5 linked regions of the Oryctolagus cuniculus genome follow. The protein of the gene in region 1 purifies or fractionates together with the protein of each later gene. This does not show direct contact. Links are inferred from orthologs where the notes say so. Each region holds a gene or a part of one and is shown in the gene's direction. Other genes may lie near its edges.

Region 1 (4,965 bases):
GCTTTCCAAGGTACAATTAGCAAGGAGGTGGATCAGAAGTGGAGCAGCTGGAATTTGAATCCAAGCAGTGTCATAACTGTGCTGAATGCTTGCTGCAACAATTAGTGTTTATTTTTTTTTTTAATAGAAAAATCCATACAAAAAAGGGAAATAATTCCCAAAGGGCAAACAATACATGATTACAAACTACCTTCCTTCTACTTCAGGCCCTTTCTTTACAAAACTTCTGGCTGATGCCAGTATTAAGTTTTTAAAATATTCTTTCAGAAGTAATTCTATCTATGTAATATTTTATGTACATGTAAATTTGCATGTGAATATTCCTTCCTTTACAAAAGGAAATGGGAACATAGTCTCTGTATTGTTTCATGCCTTGCTTTTTTTCCACTCAACAATAAAATTTGGAGACAGTTTTATATCCAAATATAAAGTATTTTGTCTTTGTTTTTAATGATTGCATAATAATCCATACTATTGCTGTAGCACAAATTATTTAGTCTCAACTTCCAATTTGGTTCTTGTGATATGCTTTTTTTAAAGATTTATTTATTTTTATTTGAAAGGCAGAGTTAGAGAGAGGAGAGACAGAGAGATCTTCCATCCACTGGTTCACACCCCAAATGGCTGCAACAGTTGGGGCTGGGCCAGGCCAAAGCTAGGAGCCAGGAGCTTGATCAGGCTCTCCACGTGGGTGCAGGGGCTCAAACACTTGGGCCATCCTCAGCTGCTTTCACAGGCGCATTAGCAGGGAGCTGGATGTGAAGTGGAGCAGCCGGATTGGAACCGGTGCCTATATTGGATGCTGGCGCTGCAGACTGTTGCTTAATGTGCTGTGCCACAGTGCTGGCCCAGCTCCCCCCCCCCCCCTTAAAATTTATTTTATTTCTTTGAAAGGCAGTGTTACCGAGAGAGAAGAGGGGGATAGATAGGTGGATAGATGGATAGATAGATAGATCGTCCATCTGCTGGCCCACTCCCCAAACGGCTGTAATGGCTAGACCTGAGCCAGGCCAGATTCCATCTGTGTCTCCCATGTAGGTGGCAGGGACACAAGCACTTGGGCCATCTTGGGCTGCCTTCCCAGGCGCTTTAGCAGGGATCTGGATCGAAGTGGAGCAGCCCGGACTCCCACCGTGCCCATATGGGACTCCGGCACTGCAGATCAGGACTATAACGAGCTGCGCCACAGCGTGGGCCCCTACTACTACTTCTTAATACCTCAGCGCACATGACATCCTAGCTGCCACACTTTCCAGGTTCTTAGCTTACAAACCTTCACAAGCAGAAGTGATCCTGGTGCTTCTGAGCTGGCTTGCAGCCACAGGCTGCCTTGTATCACAGTTTTGATACCCGTCTTGATTGTGAGATCGCCATCAGCACACAGCTTATTAGTACTTTCCCGCTGTTCATGCTTTGTACTTTGTGACAAAGATGTTCAACAAGAATTTGTAGGGTTAGTGACATTCACGGACTTCATTGTCATTGTATACGCAGTGTCATTGACTGTTCCTGACTTATGTTGGGCTTTCAACACATTTGTGGATTCAGTGAGTAAATGAACAGATCCCCGCCTATAGTCGCTTGGAGAACTTCAAATCCCAGCAGACACTGCGCGGAACGTCGGCGGACGCGGTGATGCAAGGGGGCGTGGTGAGCCTGAGGGAGGGGTCGTCCTGCGGGCAGCTGGAGGCTGGGGCGGCTGGGATCCTGGGGTGAGGGAGTGAAGGAGCGAAAGGTGAGCCCGACTGAAGGAGCGGACGCGTTGCCCGGCGCCCCCAGTCTATGGAGCGGGGTAAGATGGCGGAGGCGGAGAGCCTGGAGACAGCGGCAGAGCACGAGCGGATCCTGCGGGAGATCGAGAGCACCGACACGGCCTGCATCGGGCCCACGCTCAGGTACCCCCGGTACCGGGGCCACCGACGGGTGGGCACGGGCGGAACAGGGGGGCAGGCTCCTTTGGGTCCGGTGCCGGCCGCCCGCTGGGCCAGCGCAGCCCCTCCCATTGGAGACACCCGCTAGTGACCTGTAGGCTGGCGAGGCGGGGCTCCCTCCGCAGCCCCGACGTGGGGTCCCTTCCCGATCGGTCGTCCGCGCCCCACAGTCCCGCGACTCCGGAGGCGCCTCTTGCCTGCCTCGCGGCCGGGGCAGGCTTCGCGCTCCCTCCGAGGCTAGCCCAGCGCCGGGGAACGAGAGAGCGCCCGGCAGATGGTGGCTCCTAGCAGCTCTTCCCCCATGGGAACATCACCCGGCTCCCTCCGACTCAGACCTCGTCCCGCCCCAGACACAAGTCTGCTCTTCAGACAAAACAGTTTCCCTGCATGGTGTGTTGTTTGGAATTAAGCTGCTGCCTCAGAATCACAGCTGCGTCCGAGAAACCAGTGTCCGAAAATCCTAGGCCCTGCAAGGAAGTTTCCCTCGACCCCGCGCCGCTCGCTGGAGAGCTGATGCGCCTTTAACCCGGGTGGGAGGCCGGTCCCTCCTCCAGGTGCAGCCGGGCGGTGTTCTCGAAGAAGGAAAACCTGCCCCGCCCCGCAGTTACAATGCTCTGCACGCACACCTCCATTTTACTTGGAGATGTCACAACAAACCCCTCACTTATTTAAGCAAATTTGGGTAGCACTTGTTACGCACATCGTGACACATTGTATTAAGTGATTTACACATTATGACTTCCTGAAACCACAAAACAATCTTATTAGGCAGGTGCTGTTATTATTTTCATTTTACAAATGAGGCTCCGAGAGGTGAAGTGACTTGCCCAAGGTCACAGAGAAAGTAAAGTGGGGTTCCGGGGGTTCCTACTCAGACGGTCTGCACCAGACTCTGTCATTGCGCTATTCTGTCTCAAATAGGGATTACTCGCCTACTTCCTGTTGGTAATTGCTTACCAAGCCTAATTTTGAACTACTTTCTTTCTCCCTTTAGTTTACTGGTGCCCTAGAATTAACTCATCTTTCCCTGTGGCACACTCTGATCTCCTTGCAGCCAGTAGACAGAATTATCTTACCCTCCTGGTAGAGTCTTGAGTCACTGCTCCTCAGTCTAGAGTCCTTACTCACTGCCTGCTTTCTCATGGGCAGAGCTGCCTCCGGAGGGAGTGACTGAAGGGAAGGCAGGCTGGAGGCTTCACTCTATCTCCACCTGCCCGGCTTCCTTCTCCAGGGCATATTGTTAGCTCTGTTCTCCCAGGGCCATCCCCAGACATAACTGCCCTCAGTAGTTTGCCTTTTGTTCCTTTTAGAGTTGCCTCTTCTCTCTGTCCCTGTTCCCATTGTGTTATGATTTGGATCGTCATGCTCCTGTCCTATCCCATTTCTTAAGCTCTTAGGGTCACTGATTCTGATTTCAAGTCCACTTTTATAAAAGCTGAGGGCTACTTACTAATATTCTACTAAGTGCATTATTAATGGTTATTAATATTTGGTTTTCATAAAATGTTACTAGAGCTACTGAGGATGCTATTTCAATATTACATGTATGTATATTTTAAATATGTATTTATTTGACAGATAGAAAGAAAGAGATATAAAGAGGTCTTTCATCCCCTGGGGTTCACTCCCCAAATGGCTGCAACAGAGGCTTGGAACTCCTTCTGGGACTTCCACTTGGGTGGCAGGGGCCCAAGCACTTGGGCCATCTGCCACCACTGTACCAGATGCGTTAACAAGGAGCTGGTTTGGAAGCAGAGCAGCCACTGCACCACAGTGCTGGCTCTTCTGTGTTATATTAAAAAATTTTGGGGTGGGCATTTGGTGCAGTGGTTAAGACATACTTGGGAAGTACTTGGGATACCTGCACGCTAAGTCATGGTACCTAAGTTTGAGTCCTGACTCTGCTCCTGATTCTAGCTTCCTGTTGCACATCTTGGGAGGCAGCAGGTGATGGCTCAAGTTTTGGGTCCCTGCCATCCACATAGGAGACCTGATTGTGTTCCAGGCTCCTGGCTTCGGGCCGTTTGGCCACTTGGGGTGTGAACCAGTGGATGGGAGATCTCTGTCTGTCTCTCTCTGCATTTCAAACCAAATAAAATAAATAAATCTTAAAAGAAAAAATGAATTTGGCTGCTAGCTGCAGTTGGCATCCTGGCCATATTCCCACTGGAGCTGTTGAGATTACTAGAGGTTTTAGGAAGGGTTCTTTATCAGAGCACCATCAATGTTGTTTTGAGTTGCTTGTGGTTTTCAATTGCTGTTCTTGATTTGTGTGATAAATGATTTAGTGTTATCAATTTAATTTGTTGCGACTTATTATATTAACTCTCAACTGAAAAGTAAATACTTCTGAATTTTGGCCTTTAGTTCTCCAGTTTCTTTGCTTTCAGAATATATGCATTATGGGTCAAATGTAAGTTACCCGTTTCCTCTAAAATTTGCTTCTTTGTTAACCCTGAGTTCCTTTTCACTGGAAAATGGGGTTTTGAGGAGTTAGATGGATTAAGGGATGTTTTGCCCTAAGGGAATATTGAATAAAAAAGTTTGAGAACTTGCATTATTCTACAGTTTAGTTGCTTTTCTTGACTCTCTCTCTTTTTTTTTTTTGGACAGGCAAAGTTAGACAGTGAGAGAGAGAGAGACAGAGAAAAACAGAGAAAAACACCCCCCAAATGGCCACTACGGCCAGCGCGCTGCACCGATCCAAAGCCAGGAGCCAGGTGCTTCCTCCTGTTCTCCCACACAGGTGCAGGGCCCAAGCACTTGGGCCATCCTCCACTGCCCTCCCAGGCCACAGCAGAGAGCTGGACTGGAAGAGACTGGGACAGAATCCGGCACCTCAACCAGGACTAGAACCAGTGGTGCTGGCGCCGCAGAGGGAGGATTAGCCTAGTGAGCTGTGGCTCCGGCCTTGACTCTCTATCTTATTGTTGAGGTCTTTTCATTTTTGCTCTTGTCTTTTCTTTGGCAGTTAACCCTAAATCCTGCTCTGAGACCCATGGCTCGAGCACTTGAACATCCTCTAATCCAAGTA
Region 2 (4,893 bases), on another chromosome or scaffold:
AGAGCTCACCCAGGACAATCCTGTTCTACTCTAAGCCTCTTCCCCCCACAAGCTATCATCAGTTTGTGGTGGTTAACAAGCAGATGTCCAGCAGCATATATGAAGGAGATTTGTACTTTAAACACGATTTTGTATCACACCTTAATCTGTCCTACTGTAGGTTGTTTTGTATCAAATCAAAAACAACCGTGGGGGGCAGGCACTGTGACACGGCAGGTTCAGCCCTGCTTCAGTGACCAGCTGCCTGCTAATGCCCCTGGGAGACAGCAGATGATGGCCCCACTACTTGAGTTTCTGTCACCTGTGTTGGAGACCAAGATGGAGTTCCTAGCTCTTGCATTCAATCTGGCCTACCCCGTCCCCACCCCCAACCTCACTCCACCCCCTGTTGTGGATATTTAGGAAGACAACCAGCAAATGGAAAATCTCTGTCTTTCTCAGTCAGAAAAAGAGGCATGGCAAAGTGGTAACTGAAACTTAACTCTGATAATGTGCAGCTTATCAACTCAAATCAGCAGCTCTCAAACTTCATGTGTAGAGAGGGGATCCTTTTAGAAGCATCACCAAAGAGCTCCCGAGTCGAGAAATATGGAGACCTCAACTCCCTCCCCATTCCAAAACACTGGCTCACTACACCAAGTGGTGGTTTGTTAACTAGGCCATCACGCAGCCTTCGGCAGTTTTTCTGCGTCCTCAGCTGCCTTTCTGGAAAGATCTGAGTGCTTGTCCCTCTTGTTTTCTAGAGCACTAGCACAGGAAGGTTAGAAACGTGTGACTTTACAGTGGGGCGAGTTGTCTTTTTTTTTTTCTTCTTCTTCTTTTGGTCTTTTTCCCCCTCATTATGTTCTTTCTAATTCCAACTACAGTGGCGTGAGCTACATAGCTTTCTTAGCTGTTTGAACTGGATAAGAAGAGAGAAACACATCAAGCGTCCAAAGCCAAACGCTCTGGTTTAACTCCCCTGGGACTGGCAGGCAAGAAGTGCGGCCCCCTCCGCCTCGGTTCCCCCCGCGGGGCTCGGGACTCACAGGGTCATGCGCAAGCTCCACTTCACCTCCACGGCCTCCAGCTGGCCCCAGAAGAACCGGTCGTTGAACTGCACAAACAGGGCCTGCAAATCCGGCGTGGGGTCCACCAACTCCCAGGACGCGTCTACCAGCGACAGGGGCTCCTGGGCGCCATCGCGCTCCGCAACCTGCAAGTTCCACTCCTCCTGAAGCTGAAGTGCCAAAACCAGGTCCTCATCCATCACTGCCAGGATCCCAGTCGGGGCTCACTGGCGTTAGGCTGACTCCCGACTCAGGCCGCAGAAACGTTTCAGAGGCTTCAAGCTCCTAGGATACCGGTTCTCGGGCTGCTCTCGGGGTCGCTCTGCCAATCTCGCGAGAACTCGGGGAAAACGGAACTGAGAACAGGAACCAGAACCGAGTTTGCTCCGAACTCCGACGGCAAGATTCTAGGGCTTAAACAAGAAACTAGCCGTGACACCTCGAAACTGGAGCAGAACCCCGGGCTCGGCCCGAGGACGGTTACAGGAAGCTAGTTAACGCGTCTACGCTTCACCAGGAACTTCAAACCCAAACGTCACGCTCTGCTCATGCGCAGTACTTAAGCCTCGCCCTCTCGCCCTCTCCCCGCTTCCGCAATAACTCCTCCTGCGCGTGCGCTCTAGTTCGCGGGCAATCCTGCGCAGTCGTACGGTCTGCGCTCAGCCGCTTGCGCAGGCGCAGTGTGAGCAGCTCAGACCCGGGCGCAGGCGTACTCGTCTTGCTCGCATCTTGCTTCCTAAGCCCTGGAGCTCGGCTGGAGTTGGGTGGGTCTCGACAGCCGTGGCGACAGTGACAGCGACTGCCTGAGACCCAGACGGAAATGGCGATGGCGATGTCGGACAGTGGAGCGAGCCGCCTGCGGCGGCAGCTAGAATCAGGGAGCTTTGAGGCACGGCTGTACGTGAAGCAGCTCTCGCAGCAGTCGGACGGGGACCGGGACCTCCAGGAGCACCGGCAGCGCATCCAGGCTTTGGCGGAGGAGACAGCGCAAAACCTGAAACGCAACGTCTACCAGAACTACCGGCAGTTCATAGAGACGGCCCGCGAGATCTCCTACCTGGAGAGCGAGATGTACCAGCTCAGCCATCTCCTGACGGAACAGAAGAGCAGCCTGGAGAGCATCCCGCTCACCTTGCTGCCGGCCGCCGCCGCCGCCGCGGGGGCCGGCGCTGCCTCGGGCGGGGAGGAGGGGGCAGGTGGCGCTGGGGGCCGAGACCACCTCCGAGGCCAGGCCGGCTTTTTTCCCAGCCCCGGGGGCGCCTCGCGCGACAGTTCCGGCCCGGGCGAGGAAGGAAAGCAGCGCACTCTCACCACCCTGCTTGAAAAGGTGGAAGGCTGCAGGCACCTGCTGGAGACCCCGGGGCAGTACCTGGTGTACAACGGGGACCTGGTGGAATACGAAGCGGATCACATGGCCCAGCTGCAGCGGGTGCACGGCTTTCTCATGAACGACTGTTTGCTGGTGGCCACCTGGCTGCCCCAGCGGCGGGGGATGTATCGCTACAATGCTCTCTATCCCCTAGATGGCCTGGCCGTGGTCAATGTCAAGGACAACCCACCCATGAAGGACATGTTCAAGCTGCTGATGTTCCCCGAGAGTCGCATTTTTCAGGCAGAAAATGCCAAAATAAAACGAGAGTGGCTGGAGGTGCTGGAAGAAACCAAGAGGGCCCTCAGTGAAAAAAGACGAAGGGAACAGGAGGAAGCAGCGGCCTCTAGAGGGCCTCCCCAAGTGACCTCCAAGGCCACGAACCCGTTTGAGGATGATGAAGACGAAGAGCCAGCTGTCCCCGAGGTGGAGGAAGAGAAGGTGGACCTATCGATGGAGTGGATCCAGGAGTTACCTGAAGACCTGGATGTGTGCATTGCTCAGAGGGACTTTGAGGGGGCCGTTGACCTGCTAGATAAATTGAATCATTACCTAGAAGACAAGCCCAGCCCACCTCCTGTAAAAGAACTCAGGGCCAAGGTGGATGAGCGTGTCCGGCAGCTCACGGAGGTGCTGGTTTTTGAACTGTCCCCAGGTCGTTCCTTGCGAGGTGGGCCCAAGGCTACTCGCAGGGCGGTTTCTCAGCTAATCCGGCTTGGCCAGTGCACAAAGGCTTGCGAGCTGTTTTTGAGAAACAGAGCGGCAGCTGTGCACACGGCCATCCGTCAGCTTCGCATTGAAGGTGCCACTTTACTCTATATTCATAAGCTGTGCCATGTCTTCTTTACGTGTCTTCTCGAGACTGCCAGAGAATTTGAGACAGATTTCGCCGGCACCGACAGTGGCTGCTACTCTGCCTTTGTGGTCTGGGCGAGATCAGCCATGGGCATGTTTGTAGATGCTTTCAGCAAGCAGGTGTTTGATAGCAAGGAGAGCCTGTCCACGGCAGCAGAGTGCGTCAAGGTGGCTAAGGAGCACTGCCAGCAGCTGGGAGATATTGGACTAGACCTCACCTTCATCATCCACGCCCTTCTGGTGAAAGACATCCAGGGGGCCTTGCACAGTTACAAAGAAATCATCATTGAAGCCACCAAACATCGCAACTCGGAGGAGATGTGGAGGAGGATGAACTTGATGACTCCAGAGGCCCTGGGCAAGCTCAAAGAAGAGATGAGAAGTTGCGGGGTGAGTAACTTTGAGCAGTATACCGGGGATGACTGCTGGGTGAACCTAAGTTACACAGTGGTCGCTTTCACCAAACAGACCATGGCGTTTTTGGAAGAGGCCTTAAAGCTGTATTTCCCAGAGTTGCACATGGTACTGTTGGAGAGCCTGGTGGAAATCATTCTGGTTGCCGTCCAGCATGTGGATTATAGCCTTCGGTGCGAGCAGGATCCAGAGAAGAAGGCTTTTATCCGACAGAATGCGTCCTTCCTATATGAAACGGTGCTCCCGGTGGTGGAAAAAAGGTTTGAAGAAGGTGTGGGGAAACCTGCCAAGCAACTCCAAGACCTGAGGAACGCATCAAGACTCATGCGGGTGAATCCTGAAAGTACGACATCAGTCGTCTGAGGCTGGAGTCTGTCCATATGTGTACAGATGATAGTGCTTATAGGTTATTTATATTTATATTGTTGTATTAGCATATTCTGTATAGTCTCAAACACAGCTTACAAGTAAAAAGTGCCCTCAGAGATGCAAAACCAAAAGAAGAAAGGAAAAGAATGTAAAATTAAGCCCAAATAACAAAAAATATCAAAGTTGTTAAAACATATACTGACCTTTTAAATTATGCTAGTTCTCTAATGGGTTTATGATAGCACTACAGTTATTTCAGCTTCTCCTTTGAACCAAAATACACTTTCTCACAGTGTATCTTATTCAACACAGATAAATATGTCTACAAATACATCAGTTTACGTGTGTGTGAAAAGTTTCCTGGTTACGTTTCTTAAAGGGTGCAGTACCATGTAAAACACGCTGCCTCAGTACTTCCCCTTCTTGAAGTGTGATTGGACACTTTTTGGGGAAAAGAAAGGAGTTGGGAAAGTTGGTTTCGGAGTAAACTCTAGTCAAAAGAATTCTTTCTCCATGATCTAGCTAGCTAGCTTGGGGCCTCAGATACTCCAGTCCCTATATAGGAGGAAGCTTTTATACAGATTCAAACATTTCCAACAGAATTTGAATGGCTAATTATTTTCACTTGTTAATTAGCCGCTCCATAGTTTTCCTACTGGAGTTGGGAACGTTTACTTGGAAATCTTAAAGATTGTGATTTTTTTCAACACGTTTCTGAATTGTGTGAATTTCCAGCTGGAGCTTTTGTCTGTTATATTTATATTTAATAATAATAATAATAAAACAGGAAACTTGACAATCCTGACTGCAGCCAGTGATTTTAGCTCCCTTTTCAAT
Region 3 (4,949 bases), on another chromosome or scaffold:
AGGGCTCCGCTGGTGCCCGCAGCTGCCCCACACCTGTCTCTCTTAGGGGCTCTCCCAGTGAGCAGCAGCCTTATGGGACAGACAGAGCCTGACTGCCCAGCCTGCTGGGCCTCCATCAGCCTGAGCCCCAGCCCGAGCCTGTTCTGTATGAGAGCAGAGGTCACTGCCAAGGATGTCCCCTGTGACCATGTGACTCACAGCCTGATGCCATCTGTCCATCCTGAGGGCATCTGACCCCGGGCACCATCCTGTCCATCCTGAGGGCATCTGACCCCAGGCACCACCTGTCCATCCTGAGGGCATCTGACCCCGGGCACCACCTGTCCATCCTGAGGGCATCTGACCCCGGGCACCACCTGTCCACCCTGAGGGCATCTGACCCCGGGCACCATCCTGTCCATCCTGAGGGCATCTGACCCCGGGCACCACCTGTCCATCCTGAGGGCATCTGACCCCGGGCACCACCTGTCCACCCTGAGGGCATCTGACCCCGGGCACCACCTGTCCACCCTGAGGGCATCTGACCCCGGGCACCATCCTGTCCATCCTGAGGGCATCTGACCCCGGGCACCACCTGTCCACCCTGAGGGCATCTGACCCCGGGCACCACCTGTCCATCCTGAGGGCATCTGACCCCGGGCACCATCCTGTCCATCCTGAGGGCATCTGACCCCGGGCACCATCCTGAGGGCATCTGACCCCGGGCACCATCCTGTCCATCCTGAGGGCATCTGACCCCGAGAACCACCTGTCCACCCTGAGGGCATCTGACCCCGGGCACCACCTGTCCATCCTGAGGGCATCTGACCCCGGGCACCATCCTAAGGGCATCTGACCCCGGGCACCATCCTGCGGGTATCTGACCCTGGGTTTCACCTGTCCATCCTGAGGGCAACACCCCTGGGTTTCACCTGTCCATCCTGAGGGCACCACCCCTGGGTGCCACCTGTCCATCCTGAGGGCATCTGACCCCGGGCACCATCCTGTGGGCATCTGACCCCGGGCACCATCTGTCCATCCTGAGGGCACCACCCCTGGGTGCCACCTGTCCATCCTGAGGGCATCTGACACATGGAGTGAAGCCAGCTGGGACTCACTGCACTGTCCCTGACTGTGCCCGCCTCACTGGGTCAGAGCTCAGGGAACGGAAGGCTGTAAACACCTCAGTTGTGTTTCATTCAGTGCCCACACTTGCTTTGCCAGGAAGAAGTGGCAGCGGCAGCATGAAGGGAAACGCTCCCAAGAACGCCCATGCACGCTGCTGCCGTGACCCCCCCAGGGCCCAGCACAGAGGGTGGAGGGCTCCTGTGAGCCCCCTCCCATGTCCGGTATTCTAGGCCGTTATGGCCTTGACACCGAGGTGCCCACAGCAGAACTTCTGTGACACGAAAGCACACGCGCGAACACACATGTCCACACGCATGTGCACACATGTGCACACCCACACAAATACACACATGCACACGCGTTCACACACGTTCACGCACACACACATACATACACGGGCATACGCGCCCACACAAATACACACATGCACACGCGTTCACGCACAGGCGCGCACACACGCGCACGCCCGCACACCCGCACACCCGCACTCGCGCACACACACCGCGATGGGGCGGGCCGGGGGTCGGCGCCTGCGGCTGTGAATCCTGAGGGGTCCGGGCGGGCGGCGTCCGGCGCACGTCAGGGAAGGGGCGGCGGAGCCGGGACAGGCAGGAAGCCCCCAGCCGTCACCGGGCTCCGTGGACAGCGACCCCCGGAGCACCGGACGGTCTTGCCGTCCCGAAGGCCCGCCCACTGGCCAGGCCCCGCCCGCCACCTGCGTCGCCGGAAGCGGAAGTGCCCTTCAGCGTCCACTTCCTGTCGGGCCCGGGAGCGGGCGGCGGCTGCAGCGGCAGCGGCGGCGCGGGCGGTGAGGCGTTGTGGGGTCCGAAGGCTTGCGGTCCGCTGGGTGGTGGCCGCCGACCCTGCCGCCGTTGTCCTTGGGCGTCCGCGGGATGAGCGGCGGCCGGGGCGGGGCCCGAGGGCGGGGCTCCCCGAGGCCGTCTGGGCCGCGGTGCGGTGTCCGCCTCGCTGTGTCCTCTCGGCTCGGGAGTCTCTTCAGCCGGGTGTCACCCCGCGCGGGTCGTCCCCCGGCCCGGCCGTCACCCCCGCGGGTGTCCCCGGGCCGGGTGTTAGCCCCGCGGGTCGTCCACCAGTGCGGGTGTCACCCCCACGGATCGTCCCCAGGCCCGGGTGTCCCCCCCGCGGGTCATCCCCCGGCCTGAGTGTCACCCCCGCGGGTCGTCCCCTGGCCTGGCCGTCACCCCCACGGATCGTCCCCCTGCCTGAGTGTTACCCCCACGGATCGTCCCCCTGCCTGTCACCCCTGCGGGTCGTCCCCCGGCCCGGGTGTCCCCCCCGCGGGTCGTCCCCTGGCCTGGCCGTCACCCCCACGGATCGTCCCCCTGCCTGAGTGTTACCCCCACGGATCGTCCCCCTGCCTGTCACCCCTGCGGGTCGTCCCCCGGCCCGGGTGTCCCCCCCGCGGGTCATACCCCGGCCTGAGTGTCACCCCCGCGGGTCGTCCCCTGGCCTGGCCGTCACCCCCACGGATCGTCCCCCTGCCTGAGTGTCACCCCTGCGGGTCATCCCCCGGCCTGAGTGTCACCCCCGCGGGTCGTCCCCGGGCACGGTGTCACCCCCAGGGCGTCGCCCCCTGGCCCGGGAGTCACCCCCGCGGGTCGCTCCCGAGCACAGGTGTCACCCCGTGGTGTCTGCCCATCTGACTCCTCAGCCCATCGGTGCCTCCCCGATGCCGGTGTGGGAGGGCTGTGGAGGTTCCTCAGGGTCTCTGGGGCCCTAGGAGTTCCCGTCTGGCCTGGGGAGACTGGCGCACCCTGTGCGGTCCCTGGTGAGCCTCCTGCTTTCCCGGTCTGTTCAGAGGCGAGCCCTCCGCTGCCCTGCACCCAGGAAGGGTGCTGAGGGCCAGTGCGGCCGGGCTCAGGGCACGCTGCGAGCGTCTTGGCTGTGGTCATCAAGATGAGGGTCCCGTGTCAGCGGGAACGTGGTCGTGTGCAAAGCCGCACTCTGGGTACTGAAGCAATGCAGGGAGCAGCGGGGGCCACCGAGCCGGCAGGAGAGGGCGCCTGGGGGGGCGGGGGGACGCGGCTGCCTCTGGCGTGTCCATATCTCCCGTGCGTTGTTGTATGTGGTTTGATTTCGTAACCAGGGGAGGAGAAGAGGGTAGTGGTTGCAGTGCCGCCTCTGAAAGAGAAGAGACCCGCACGTTCTCCTGAGAGCCGGGAATGGGAATGAGAAAGCCCGGCAGAGGTGGCCGTGGTGGGGGTAGTGCTGGAGCTGGGGCCGCTGGCGGGGGAGCTGGGTCAGCGCCTGTGCCGCGTCCCCTGCCCTCCCCACCCTCTGTCAGGGCTGTGAAATGCAGGGGATGGAGTTGTGCGTGGTGATTTGCAGGGCGGCCCTGGGTGCGTGCTCGCCCTCTGGGGCAGTTGTGCGCGGCCCTGGGCTGGCGAGAAGGCTCCTGTCAGGGGCGCCGCAGGGCCTCGGGCTGACGTGTGCAGGTTCACGCACAGGGACTGGTGCGCGCGCTTGCTTTCTCGTGCACAGGGGTTTCTTTCTTCCTTTTTCTTTTTTATTAAGATTTATTTATTTATTTGAAAGAGTTACACATTGAGAGGAGAGGCAGAGAGAGAGAGGGGTCTTCCACCGCTGGTTCACTCCTCAACCGGCCACTACAGTCGGAGCTGTGCTAATTTGAAGCCAGGAGCCAGGAGCTTCTTCCGGGTCTCCCACATGGGTGCAGGGGCCCAAGGACTTGGACCATCTTCTACTGCTTTCCCAGGCCATAGCGGAAGCTGGATCAGAAGTGGAGCAGCCGGGACTGGAGCCGGCGCCCATGTGGGATGCCGGCATTGCAGGCAGCAGCTTTATGCGCTACGCCACAGTGCCGGCCCCAACAGGGGTTTCTACATGTAATGTAAAACCATCCCTGAGGGGCCGGCGCTGTGGTGCAGTGGGTTAACACCCTGGCCTAAAGCACCAGCATCCCATATTGGTGCCGGTTCTAGTCCCGGCTGCTCCTCTTCCGATCTAGCTCTCTGCTGTGGCCTGGGAAAGCAGTGGAGGATGGCTCAAGTCCTTGGGCCCGTACATCCATGTGGGAGACCCGGAAGAAGCTCCTGGCTCCTGGCTTCAGATCCAGCCGTTGCAGCCATCTGGGGAGTGAACCATCAGATGGAAGACCTCTCTCTCTCTCTCTCTCTCTCTCTCTCTCTGCCTCTTCTCTCTCTGTGTAGCTCAGACTTTGAAATAAATAAATAAATCTTAAAAAAAAAAATCCCTGAATTTGAGTCAGGGGGTTCATGAGCCTGGTTACGCTTTCTTTCTAGTTTACTTGCGGTCTCAGACACCTCTCATATGGCCCCAGATGGTCAGTCGACTGGGGGTGTTCAGTGCCCTTGTGGTCAGCTGGCTATAGGGGGAGTGCTCAGTGCCCACATGGTCAGCTGGGTAGGGACGTGCTCTGTGCCCACGTGGTCAGCTGGCTGGGGGACATGCTCTGTGCCCACGTGGTCAGCTGGCTGGGGGCGTGCTCAGTGCCCACATGGCCAGCTGGCTGGGGACGTGCTCGGTGCCCGTGTCTCCACCTTCCTAACCCTGTCTCTCTTGTACAGTCAGTGCCCCTGGAATGACAGGCGTGGGGACTGTGCCCTCTCGTGGACCATGAAGGAGACCGACCGCGAGGCTGTGGCAACAGCCGTGCAGCGGGTAGCTGGCATGCTTCAGCGCCCAGACCAGCTGGACAAAGTGCAGCAGTACCGCCGAAGAGAGGCTCGGAAGAAGGCCTCCGTGGAGGCCAGGCTGAAGGTAGGAGGCCGCACCTGCTGCACTCTGGGCGGGACAGTCATTTATTTTGAACTTGGGTTCCTGCCTGACAGTGTCACAGT
Region 4 (4,972 bases), on another chromosome or scaffold:
CACACAAGTTGGAATTGTGGAGTACTTAACGTCGAGGAGCACATGATCAAAAGGGAACAGGAGCCAACACATAAGTGCTTCCTCCATGCTTGCTCTCAGTGGACAGTTCTGAGAATCATTTCATAACACTTCTTAGAAGGCCCTTGAGAGATTGAGAAAACATTTGCAAAGGGCCATATCCAACGCCATGCCACTTGCTTGGGTTTCCTCTCCCACTTCTCTTGTTTCATTTCCTCTCCTTCTTCCTTACTTTAATTCTCTGGGGTCAAATTCCCAAATAAACTACTGCAGATTAGCCTCACTTTGTGTGTGTGTGTGTGTAGGGGGGGATCCATGAGGGCGAGAGAGAGAGGAGAATTAAATTCAGGGGCATATGTGAGTCAGTGTGAGGTGCCTTTGAGACATCCATGTGGAAATACGGTGGCGAGACAGTGGAAATAAGTCTGGAACTTGGGGAGGGAGTCTAGACCTATGAAATTCAGTTATTTGCTAACTTTGGGGACACAGGTAAACAGAAGATAATGAACAGGACCAAAAATCACATGTAATTATCCTATGGAATGTTCACAATGGTGTTCTGTACCAAGCAGGAAGGACTTCTTAGATCGGCCTCGATCCTACTCTTAAGAGGGAATCAATCTGATCAAAGAGAAAAGCATTCAGGTACATTGTAAACAAATACTGAAATACATTTAGCCCATCTCTGTCCTGGCTTCCTCGGCGACTCCAGCCCCAGCACAGGGAGTGACTCCCTTGTTCACATTCCTCTTTGTCTGGTCCTGCCACATTGTGAACTCTTTCAGAACAGGATTCATGTCTAAACCACCTCTGCACCTGGAGTCAAGAATATGGACTAGGGGCCGGTGCTGTGGTGTAGCTGGTAAAGCTGCCGTCTACGGTGCCGGCATGCAGCTTCAAGTCCCAGCTGCTCCACTTCCCATCCAGCTCCCTGCTAATGGCCTGGGAAAGCAGTGGAAGATGGCCCAAGTCCTTGGGCCCCTGAACCCCCAAGGGAGACCCAAATGAAGCTCCTGGCTCCTGGCTTTGGATCGGCCAAGCTGGACATTGCAGCCATTTGGAGACTGATCAACGGTTGGAAGACCTCACTCTCTGTCTCTGTCTCTCTGTCCCCATAACTCTTTCAAAAGAATAAATGAATCAAAAAATGGAATAATTCAATTTCCTGATTCCCAGCCAGCAACACTAGCATCATCCCTGACCCTCAGTCTTATATGTCGTAAGCATCATCCCAACTGCAGATTCTGCTCGAGTAGATCTGAAATGAGCCCCCGAACGATGCCCTGGTAGCTGCTCCGTGGACCACACTTGGAGTATCGAGGTCACAAGCATGATGGTTCTTAACGTCAGTGGCGTATTAGACACATCTAGGAAGATATTCAAAGTATTATTGCCTTTTGGCAAAGATCAAGTGCGAAGTACTGTGTCTGGATCCCAACCCCGAGTTTATGATTTAACTCATTTAAATCTCCAAGATGTAAGCAGCAAGGGTCTACAGTCAACAGTTTTACATATAAAGAAACCAGTCGGGTTGCTTTTTAAGCGAATTGTTGTGAATATCAGAATAAACAGCTCGTGTAGGGTTGTTAAACGCAGGGCAGCAGATGTCAGTCCCCGTGGGGCAGAAGCCCCGCCCCGCCCCGCCCTCCGGCGAGGCCCCGCCCAGCCCCTCCGGCGAGGCCCCGCCCCCGGCCGGCGTTCCCCGGTCGCTCCTTGGATCCCGCCACTTCTCTTTCCGCCTCTAGACATCCACTTCCGGCGCAGAACGGGTCACGTGCCCGGATATGGGAAGCGGTGAGGAGCGGCCGCTTCCCGTTCACCGGTTAATTGAGGGGCACAGCCTGGGAGCGGTGGTCGCAGCGGCCGCACCCCGCTTCCGTCTGGGAGGACCCGCCGCGGCACAGCTGGGCTCGGTCCGGCCTTGCGGTAAGCCTCTGGCCGCGGCTGCCCAGCAGGCCCGGCGGCGGCGGCGGCGGCGGCGCCGGACCCGAGAGCGGACGGGCAGCCGCCGCCCACTCGGCGGTCAGGCCCCGCTCCCCGGGTCCCGCAGGCTGCGGAGCGGGGAGGGCGGCGCTCGCTCGTCCCGCTGCGGCCCCGCCCCTCGCGGCCAGGTTTGTGCAGACCGGCGGTGCTCGCGCTGTCCACGGCGTCGCCCCGCGGAGGAGGGCGTGACACCGCCCTTCCGCTGGCCAAGTCCACTCCCCCCACCCCGAGTCTGTTAAATGCATTCCCCTGTTTCCGTGCACGGTCTCCTGTGGATGACCGTGCTCCGTGCCCGAAACGTCCCAACCCACACGCGCCTTTAGGGTCACCGGCTGTCGGCCAGCGCGCCGAGAGGGTCCCAGCGGGTTTAAAAAACAAGAGCGACACGCAGTTAGGCAGTGGCGGGCTGCCTCTGGAGCGTAGCAGCCGCGGGTCCCCGGGCCGGGACAGGGCGGACCTGTTGTTGAGTGGCTTACAGAAAAGCGCTCCAAGGACTGGCCCCCTGAGCGCGCACCTGCGTGACGGGAGCCGCCGCTGGGGCCCAGAACAGCCTGGCCCTGGGTAGGCATCAGTAAGTGCCGAGTGATGTCCAGCCGCCTCATGTGCCCGGTGCTCAGCCCTAGCTGTTGCCGGGAGGGTGACTTTGGCCGCTGTGAGTGGTTCTTTGGACCGGTTTTTCCTCTTCAGGTTCCCTCGAGAGGTGTTAAGTACCTGCTTAGTACTCACATCTAGTTGAGCGTGTCTCTCTCTAAGAGGGTTGGAGAGCCAGGAGCTGCTGATCCCCGCCAATGCTCAGTGGTTTAGTCCGTGCAGCAGGTGCACGGCGAGATGAGTCCGGATTCAAATCACCATTGAATGAGCGTCATGTAAACCGTGTGGTGGTGTTAGGGTTTGGGTAGGGAGGAGATGATGTTTCCCGCATGGGGAAGTGCCGAAGCAGAGGTTTAGAGCCCAAAATGAACAGAGTGCTTCCAAGTGGATGCTTTGTATTAGGAAAATGCTGAACAAGGGTGTGGTGTGATGAGATCTACCCCCCCCCCCAGTTATATGGTTGTTATTCAGGGTTGTGGGTGCTTGCAAAGAGATACCCAGATGCTGTGCTGTTGAACAGGTAGAAGTGGGTGTGGGCCTGGGTTCCTGTGTGCATGGCGGGGACATAAAGGAAGGAATGTACCTGTAGATGGGGGGAAGCCCCAGAATGTGGCAGCAGGTTTCTTGTTGACCATGGAGGAAGGACTCAGGACGTTCTGAACACGACATTTGCTGAACGAAGGCGGGGGGGTCTTGAGGAAGCTAAAGCTGCTGGTTATTTGGTGCTCTCGTGTTAGTTATTAAATGCCTGCTGGGTGCCTTTTGCCAAAAGTTCTAGGAATACAAAGGTGAATGAGAAACGGTCCTTGCCAACCAGAAACTGTTTCTGATGGGAGAGGCTGATACCAGCAGTCAGAAAAGACGATCCGAAGCGCGCTGTGTGCAGGGTGGGGGGATGTTGGAGACCTAGAAAGGGAAGTATGCTTCGGGAAACACTGCTTCCCGGAAGAGGTGACACTCTAGCAGGATCCTAAGGAGTGAGTTGCAATCTCTGGGGAGAGGGAATTCCAGGAAAAGGAAATTGCGTGAACGGAAGCCCAGAGATAGAAAAGTAGACCGGGGCGGAGAGTGGAGTAGCCCCTTTAACAGTGTCTAGGCCTTGGAATGTACGAAGGGATCGGCAGCATGGATGCTGCGTTTTGAGTGGGATGGGTGAATGGTTAGAGAGATGGAAGAGGAAGAATTGGGGAGAATTGTACCTCGTGGCTTCTCTTTTCTGCAGAGTAGGCAGTGAAGTCCTATGCAGAGAGGGAGGAGGCTGACAATACGGTTGCAGGCTGAAAGACGATAATAAGGATTTGTAAACAGTAGTGATGCAATAAATGTATTAAAGAATTGCTGAGCTGCCTTCAAAGTCCAGTTTTAGCTGGATCTGTTAGAAACGAATGCAATGCACGTGGGTATATGGCTTTGAAACATAGAATCTTATAGCTCAAGAGAAGTAGAGGAAAAACATGTAGGTTTTTCAAGGTTTCTTGATAAAATAGGATAGCCAGTCTACCAAGAGGGTAAAATAAGAAAGAGGATAGTGTGGGTACTGGGAGATGAACATTGCCTGTAGCCTGGCTTGGGGGCCAGATAGACAAGAATAATGGGAGGGAGGGTGGGAGAGTGAGGAGACCTGAGGCTGAGATGAGCTGAAAGAGGAACAGAAATGCAAAGATGGCATTCTGGGGTCGTGTTATAAAAAGGCGTTATAAATCGTATATATAAAACTCACAGTTTCTTCATTTTCCCATAAAAAATGGTGTTACTAGCAGAAATTAATGTCCGAGGCAAGCTCACATTTGCATTGGAAAATACTGATATATAGCCATACAAACATGTCCCTTATGCTTGAAAAATGAAATTGAGACGTTTTTAAAAAATAGTTTAAATTGACATTTGAAAAAGACACCGATTTATGTGAGAAAAGGGAAATAAGTGGCAGCCTACTTTTGTTACAGCTTTATTGAGATAATTTGCATATCATAAAATTCAGCCTTTTCAAATATATAATTCTGTGTCCTTTAGTGTATTCACAAGATTGTACTCTTTGAACGATCACTGCTGTCTAATTCAAGGACATCTTATCACCCGGAAAGCAACACCATACCCATTAACAGACAGTCCTGCATTCTGCCTTCTCCTCTGGCCCCCACAGTCACTGCTCTTGCTATCAGTTTTCCCAGTCTGGACATTGCCTATGGTTGGAGTCATGCATTATGTAGTCTTTTGTGTTTGGCTTCTTTCACTTACCATAATGTTTTCAAGATCCATGAATGTCAGCATATATCAGCACTTCATTCCTTTTTACAGCCAAATCATCCATGGTATGAATACAACATATTTCACTCACCTGTTTATTGGCTGATGGACATTTGAATTGTTTCCATGTGTT
Region 5 (4,919 bases), on another chromosome or scaffold:
TCGGTGACTGGCAGTGCGCTACAAAGCTACACTTAGGACTGGAAGGGCAGGTGAGAACATGCAGCACACAGGGGCTGGGCCCCGTGAGGACAGCCTCCCAGCCCTCCCGCAGCTTAGCAAGTACCCCCCTGCCTTTTTTTTTAATATTATTATTTTTTATTTTTTGACAGGCAGAGTGGACAGTGAGAGAGAGAGAGACAGAGAGAAAGGTCTTCCTTTGCCATTGGTTCACCCTCCAGTGGCTGCCGCGGCCGGCGCACCGCGCTGATCCAATGGCAGGAGCCAGGTGCTTTTCCTGGTCTCCCATGGGGTGCAGGGCCCAAGCACTTGGGCCATCCTCCACTGCACTCCCTGGCCACAGCAGAGAGCTGGCCTGGAAGAGGGGCAACCGGGACAGAATCCGGCGCCCCGACCGGGACTAGAACCCGGTGTGCTGGCGCCGCAAAGTGGAGGATTAGCCTAGTGAGCCGCAGCGCCGGCCCCCCTGCCTTTTGCTAGCAGGTGAACCATGCCCGAAGAGCGAGGGAGAGCCGGCCCACCAGGCTCCAATCACTGGGTGCAAGAGGTCATTGCCGGCGTGGTGGTGGGCATTGACTGGAGGGGCTTCTCTTCAGGGAACGCCAGGTCCGGCTAGAAAGTAACCACACCTGCCTGTAGCCCCCAGACTGAAGCCCGCGGGGCCACCATAACATTACACAGAGAACACCGCAGCCTGGCTAACCAGGGGAAGGCGGGCTACCACCACCCAACCAGGAGCCCACACAGGCACTGCACACCCATCTCGTTCCAGCTTCCTCCGCGAGACCCTTCGCCCCTCCTCCTCAGTGGCCCAGGAATCAGGCCCATGGCTGCCCAGCGCCTTGCTCTGTGCATTGCGACATCAGCTTCCTATCCCAGCCGTGGCACAGCGGGCCCAGCTGCCTGCTCATCGCCTGTGACACCGGCTTCCTGTAGGGACGCGGGTTCCAGTCCCGGCTGCTCCCCTGCAGATCCAGCTCCCTGCTAAGGCGCCCGGGAAAGCCGGATGGGGCCCAAGTGCGTGGGCCCCTGCGCCCACGGGGGAGACCCAGGTGGAGGTTCCACGAGGTACCTTCCGCCAGTCCAGAGAGCACTTGGCAACCCTTCCTCCTGGCTTGGGGCTTTTATCCCTAAAGACTGAGGGGCGTTGACTAGTGCGGCTCTGACCATGATTGGCATTTGTGATTGACACCTGGGAGCTGCAGCCCTTTGGGCTGTCTGGGCATGTGGCTACAAACTAGACTTAGGTTTGTAAATGGTTTGCCTGGACGCCACTGTATCAGAGTACTTTAAACACAAGTTAAACTGAAAGCCGGGTGACCCTCGGATGACGGTTTTGTGCCTCCAACCCTCCCCACCCCCGTCACTTGTGCCCAACCACCTGACAGCCCCAAACCTTGCTACCCCACAGCACCTGCCGCATTCTATGCCTGCCCGTGCCCGGACACCTGGACCCAGGGCGACTAACAAAGCAGGAAGCAGTACCGCCATGTGCTTCCCCAGGGAATGGGGCCGCAGGCAGGGTGGGCAGGCAAAGGAAGGGGAAGGAGAACTTTGGCGCCTGCACCCAAAGCGCGAGTCAGCACCGACAGAAAACAGGGCGCTCCGGGTCTGCCTTCCTCTCCTGCCACACTTAAAATGGCCGCCCACCCATGCCTATGCCTGAGCTCTGCGCAGGCGCATTTCTGCCTGCCACTCCCAACATGGCTCCACACGCGCCCGGGGCGGGGCTAAGGGCGGAAGTGGGTGTGACAGGGACGGGAGCCGAGCGGGCCCGCTGCGGGAAGACGCTGAGGAGTGGAGGCCGCACGGTTTGGAGCGATGATTCCCCCGCAAGAGGCGTCCGCCCGGCGGCGGGAGATCGAAGACAAGCTGAAGCAGGTGGGCTGGGCACGCGGTGAGGGGCAGGGGCCGGGAGCCGGGCCGGGGCAGTGGTGGGAGAGGGGCTGGGGGCTTGGCCGGGGGGCCGGGAAGCGGTGGGCTGGGTCAGCCCTCTGCTTCTGCTAATGGCCCGCTCTCCGCTCCCCGCAGGAGGAGGAGACGCTGTCTTTCATCCGAGACAGCCTGGAGAAGAGCGACCAGCTCACCAAGAACATGGTGAGGAGGGGCTCGCGGGCCCCGGGGGAGAGCCCAGGGCCGGGGGCGCCGGGGGCGAGGCGGGGCTCCCCAGCCACAGTGGACAGCTGCCACCGTGCGCCCTCCCCGTGTTCCGGCCCCTGGCTGGGGACGCTGCGGCCCTGCCGCGCTCCGTCTGTCCATGTAGTGGTCCGGGTACCGTCCAGTGCAGGTCCTTTCGGCGATGGGCGGTCCCAGGGGCTCTGGGGTAGGAGGAGCTCTGAATTCAGAGCCGAGATCTGGTCCGTGCCCCCAGTCCCCCTTCTGTGGCTCCCGACAGGTGCCTCGGAGCCGCAGCGTCAAGGTCAACCTCCCAGTCTGGAGGCCGTGAGAGCTATTGCTGTGAACCCACGGCCTGGTATACAGCAGGCGCTCAGTAAATGAGTCTGCATTCCTAGCGGAGACTGGACGAGCGCGAATTGAGTGAATGATGGGTTTGGACTTTTATTTGTCACCCTGTAGTGAAGTCTCAGTGCTGATGGTGGGAGAGGGTTTCGGGGGCACCGGCAGTGCCGTTGAGGCTGCTCTGTGTGAAGCGGCTTTACCTTCCGCCTGAGAAGGCTTCGCTGAGAACAGAAATCGAGACTTGGCTTCTCAGGGTAGAAGTCTGGGGTGATTACTCTAGGAAGAATTAATTTGATGCTTATTTTGCCTTCAAATCTTTTTTTTTTTTTTCTTTTTGACAGGCAGAGTTAGACAGTGAGAGAGAGAGACAGAGAGAAAGGTCTTCCTCCCGTTGGTTCACCCTCCAAATGGCTACCACGGCTGGCACACCGCGCTGATCTGAAGCCAGGAGCCAGGTGCTTCTCCTGGTCTCCCATGGGGTGCAGGGCCCAAGCACTTGGGCCATCCTCCACTGCACTCCCTGGCCACAGCAGAGAGCTGGCCTGGAAGAGGAGCAACCAGGACAGAATCCTGCGCCCCGACAGGGACTAGAACCCGGTGTGCCAGTGCCGCAGGCGGAGGATTAGCCTAGTGAGCCGCGGCGCCGACCTTTTTTCCTTTTTTCTTTTTAAAGATTTGTTTGTTTGAGAGGTAGCGTACAGACAGAGAGAGGGAGAGACAGACCAGCTCCTCCTTGGGAAAAGATTTCCTTTTCTTAGGTTTGGAGGAAGAGGCAGGCGGCTGCTCTATCCTGTTCTCCTGAGGAGCCTCCTGGGGCTTTTGCTTTTTCCTCTTTTTGGGTTTCTCCTGCGCCTCCTACAGGGAGATGGGGGAGGTCTGTGAGAGAGGTCTTCCATCCACTGGTTCACTCCCCAGATGGCCGCGACAGCCGGAGCTGCACCCATGTGAAGCCGGGAGCCGGGAGCTGCTTCTGGGTCTGCCATGCAGGGGCCCACGCACTTGGGCCGTCTTCACTGCTTTCCCAGGCCGTAGCAGAGGAACAGCCAGGAGACAAACTGGCGCCCATATGGGATGCCAGTGCCACAGGAGGAGGCTTAGCCCAGAGTGCCAGCCCCCAAATTTCAGCTGGCACGTTTTGGACCACCTGCTCTGTGTCAGGCACATGAGGGATGCAGCGGGGGACGGGTCCATCCTGTCCCTTCCCGCGTGGAGCTTCCCGTGTGGAAGCGCAGAGACCGCGGTGCTGAGGGCGCTGAACGCCGGGGCCTCCCCGCAGGTGTCCATCCTGTCGTCCTTCGAGAGCCGTCTCATGAGGCTGGAGAACTCCATCATCCCCGTGCACAAGCAGACGGAGAACCTGCAGCGGCTGCAGGAGAACGTGGAGAAGACGCTGTCCTGCCTGGACCACGTCATCAGCTACTACCACGTGGCCAGCGACACCGAGAGGATCATCAGGGAGGGGTGAGCCCGGCCCTCGGGTCCTGGCCCAGTGCCCTGGGCCGCGGAAGGGGCCGTGGAATGCCTGACCGTGCAGCCCCGCACCGCGTGCTCCCCCTCCCCCTCCCGCTGAGCCGGGTCCTTTCCGCCGCAGCCCCACAGGGAGGCTGGAGGAGTACCTGGGGAGCATGGCCAAGATCCAGAAGGCTGTGGAGTACTTCCAGGACAACAGCCCAGACAGCCCGGAGCTCAACAAAGTGGTAAGGGGCCGAGGGGCCGTGGGAGAGGTGAGGGGACGCGCAGCCCGGTCCCCATCGCCCGGGGCACGCTGGGTCAGCATGGAGAGGGCTGTGGAGAACACAGGGCGGACTGCAACCTGATACGCATGCGTCGAAGGCAAGACCTCTGCTTCAGATGGCGTAGGTGTACGTGTAAACCGCATAGAAGGTGTAAATGCAGCATTTGGTTTCTAGAGCTGATTTGCGGCTTATCGTGGTAAACATGCATCATACAAGGTTTGCCATCGTAACCTTTCTAAGTGCACGCTCGGGGCGTGGAGCCCCGGCCTCCTGCTTATGCTCACCCTGCGATGGGAGATGACGATGCAGGGGACGACAGAGAGAGGGAGAAATCTCCCGTCCACCCGTTTCCTCCCCTCATGCCTACGGCAGCCGGGGCTGGACCAGACTGAAACAGGAGCCCGGATTCCGTGTGGGTCTCCCACGTGGGTGGCAGGGACCCCAACACTCCGCTGTCACCTGCTGCTCTCCCAGGCGCCTTAGCAAGGAGCTGGGTTGGAAGTAGAGCAGCCAGGGCTCACAAACCAGCACTGGCCACGCAGCTGCCCACGGCCACAGCCCACGGCCACAGCCCACGGCCGCCGCCCACGGCCACCGCCCACGGCCACAGCCCACGGCCACCGCCCACGGCCACAGCCCACGGCCGCCGCCCACGGCCGCCGCCCACGGCCGCCGCCCACGGCCGCCGCCCACGGCCACAGCCCA

What was found.
Region 2: the proteins of EXOC6B (region 1) and EXOC8 purify together in Homo sapiens (affinity purification with mass spectrometry; 3 studies listed by BioGRID and IntAct, counting the BioPlex papers as one, with this or other methods). This does not show direct contact. The link is inferred for Oryctolagus cuniculus from reciprocal best matches to the Homo sapiens genes EXOC6B and EXOC8.
Region 3: the proteins of EXOC6B (region 1) and EXOC3 purify together in Homo sapiens (affinity purification with mass spectrometry; 3 studies listed by BioGRID and IntAct, counting the BioPlex papers as one, with this or other methods). This does not show direct contact. The link is inferred for Oryctolagus cuniculus from reciprocal best matches to the Homo sapiens genes EXOC6B and EXOC3.
Region 4: the proteins of EXOC6B (region 1) and EXOC1 purify together in Homo sapiens (affinity purification with mass spectrometry; 3 studies listed by BioGRID and IntAct, counting the BioPlex papers as one, with this or other methods). This does not show direct contact. The link is inferred for Oryctolagus cuniculus from reciprocal best matches to the Homo sapiens genes EXOC6B and EXOC1.
Region 5: the proteins of EXOC6B (region 1) and EXOC7 purify together in Homo sapiens (affinity purification with mass spectrometry; 3 studies listed by BioGRID and IntAct, with this or other methods). This does not show direct contact. The link is inferred for Oryctolagus cuniculus from reciprocal best matches to the Homo sapiens genes EXOC6B and EXOC7.

The regions. Positions count from the first base shown.
Region 1 is NC_091433.1:130,043,569-130,048,533, forward strand, and holds the start of EXOC6B (exocyst complex component 6B), read left to right. Parts: upstream 1-1,634; 5' UTR 1,635-1,782; coding exon 1,783-1,895; intron 1,896-4,965. UniProt on the Homo sapiens protein: Component of the exocyst complex involved in the docking of exocytic vesicles with fusion sites on the plasma membrane.
Region 2 is NC_091444.1:50,852,503-50,857,395, reverse strand, and holds the start of EXOC8 (exocyst complex component 8), read left to right. Parts: upstream 1-1,725; 5' UTR 1,726-1,869; coding exon 1,870-4,050; 3' UTR 4,051-4,893. Other genes in the region: DNA-dependent metalloprotease SPRTN, read right to left, coding at 1,029-1,249. UniProt on the Homo sapiens protein: Component of the exocyst complex involved in the docking of exocytic vesicles with fusion sites on the plasma membrane.
Region 3 is NC_091445.1:97,416,912-97,421,860, reverse strand, and holds the start of EXOC3 (exocyst complex component 3), read left to right. Parts: upstream 1-1,781; 5' UTR 1,782-1,915; intron 1,916-4,676; 5' UTR 4,677-4,725; coding exon 4,726-4,869; intron 4,870-4,949. UniProt on the Homo sapiens protein: Component of the exocyst complex involved in the docking of exocytic vesicles with fusion sites on the plasma membrane.
Region 4 is NC_091439.1:108,641,114-108,646,085, reverse strand, and holds the start of EXOC1 (exocyst complex component 1), read left to right. Parts: upstream 1-1,804; 5' UTR 1,805-1,944; intron 1,945-2,094; exon of another isoform or gene 2,095-2,129; intron 2,130-4,972.
Region 5 is NC_091448.1:4,590,577-4,595,495, forward strand, and holds the start of EXOC7 (exocyst complex component 7), read left to right. Parts: upstream 1-1,751; 5' UTR 1,752-1,839; coding exon 1,840-1,899; intron 1,900-2,049; coding exon 2,050-2,115; intron 2,116-2,548; exon of another isoform or gene 2,549-2,567; intron 2,568-3,754; coding exon 3,755-3,939; intron 3,940-4,069; coding exon 4,070-4,175; intron 4,176-4,919. UniProt on the Homo sapiens protein: Component of the exocyst complex involved in the docking of exocytic vesicles with fusion sites on the plasma membrane.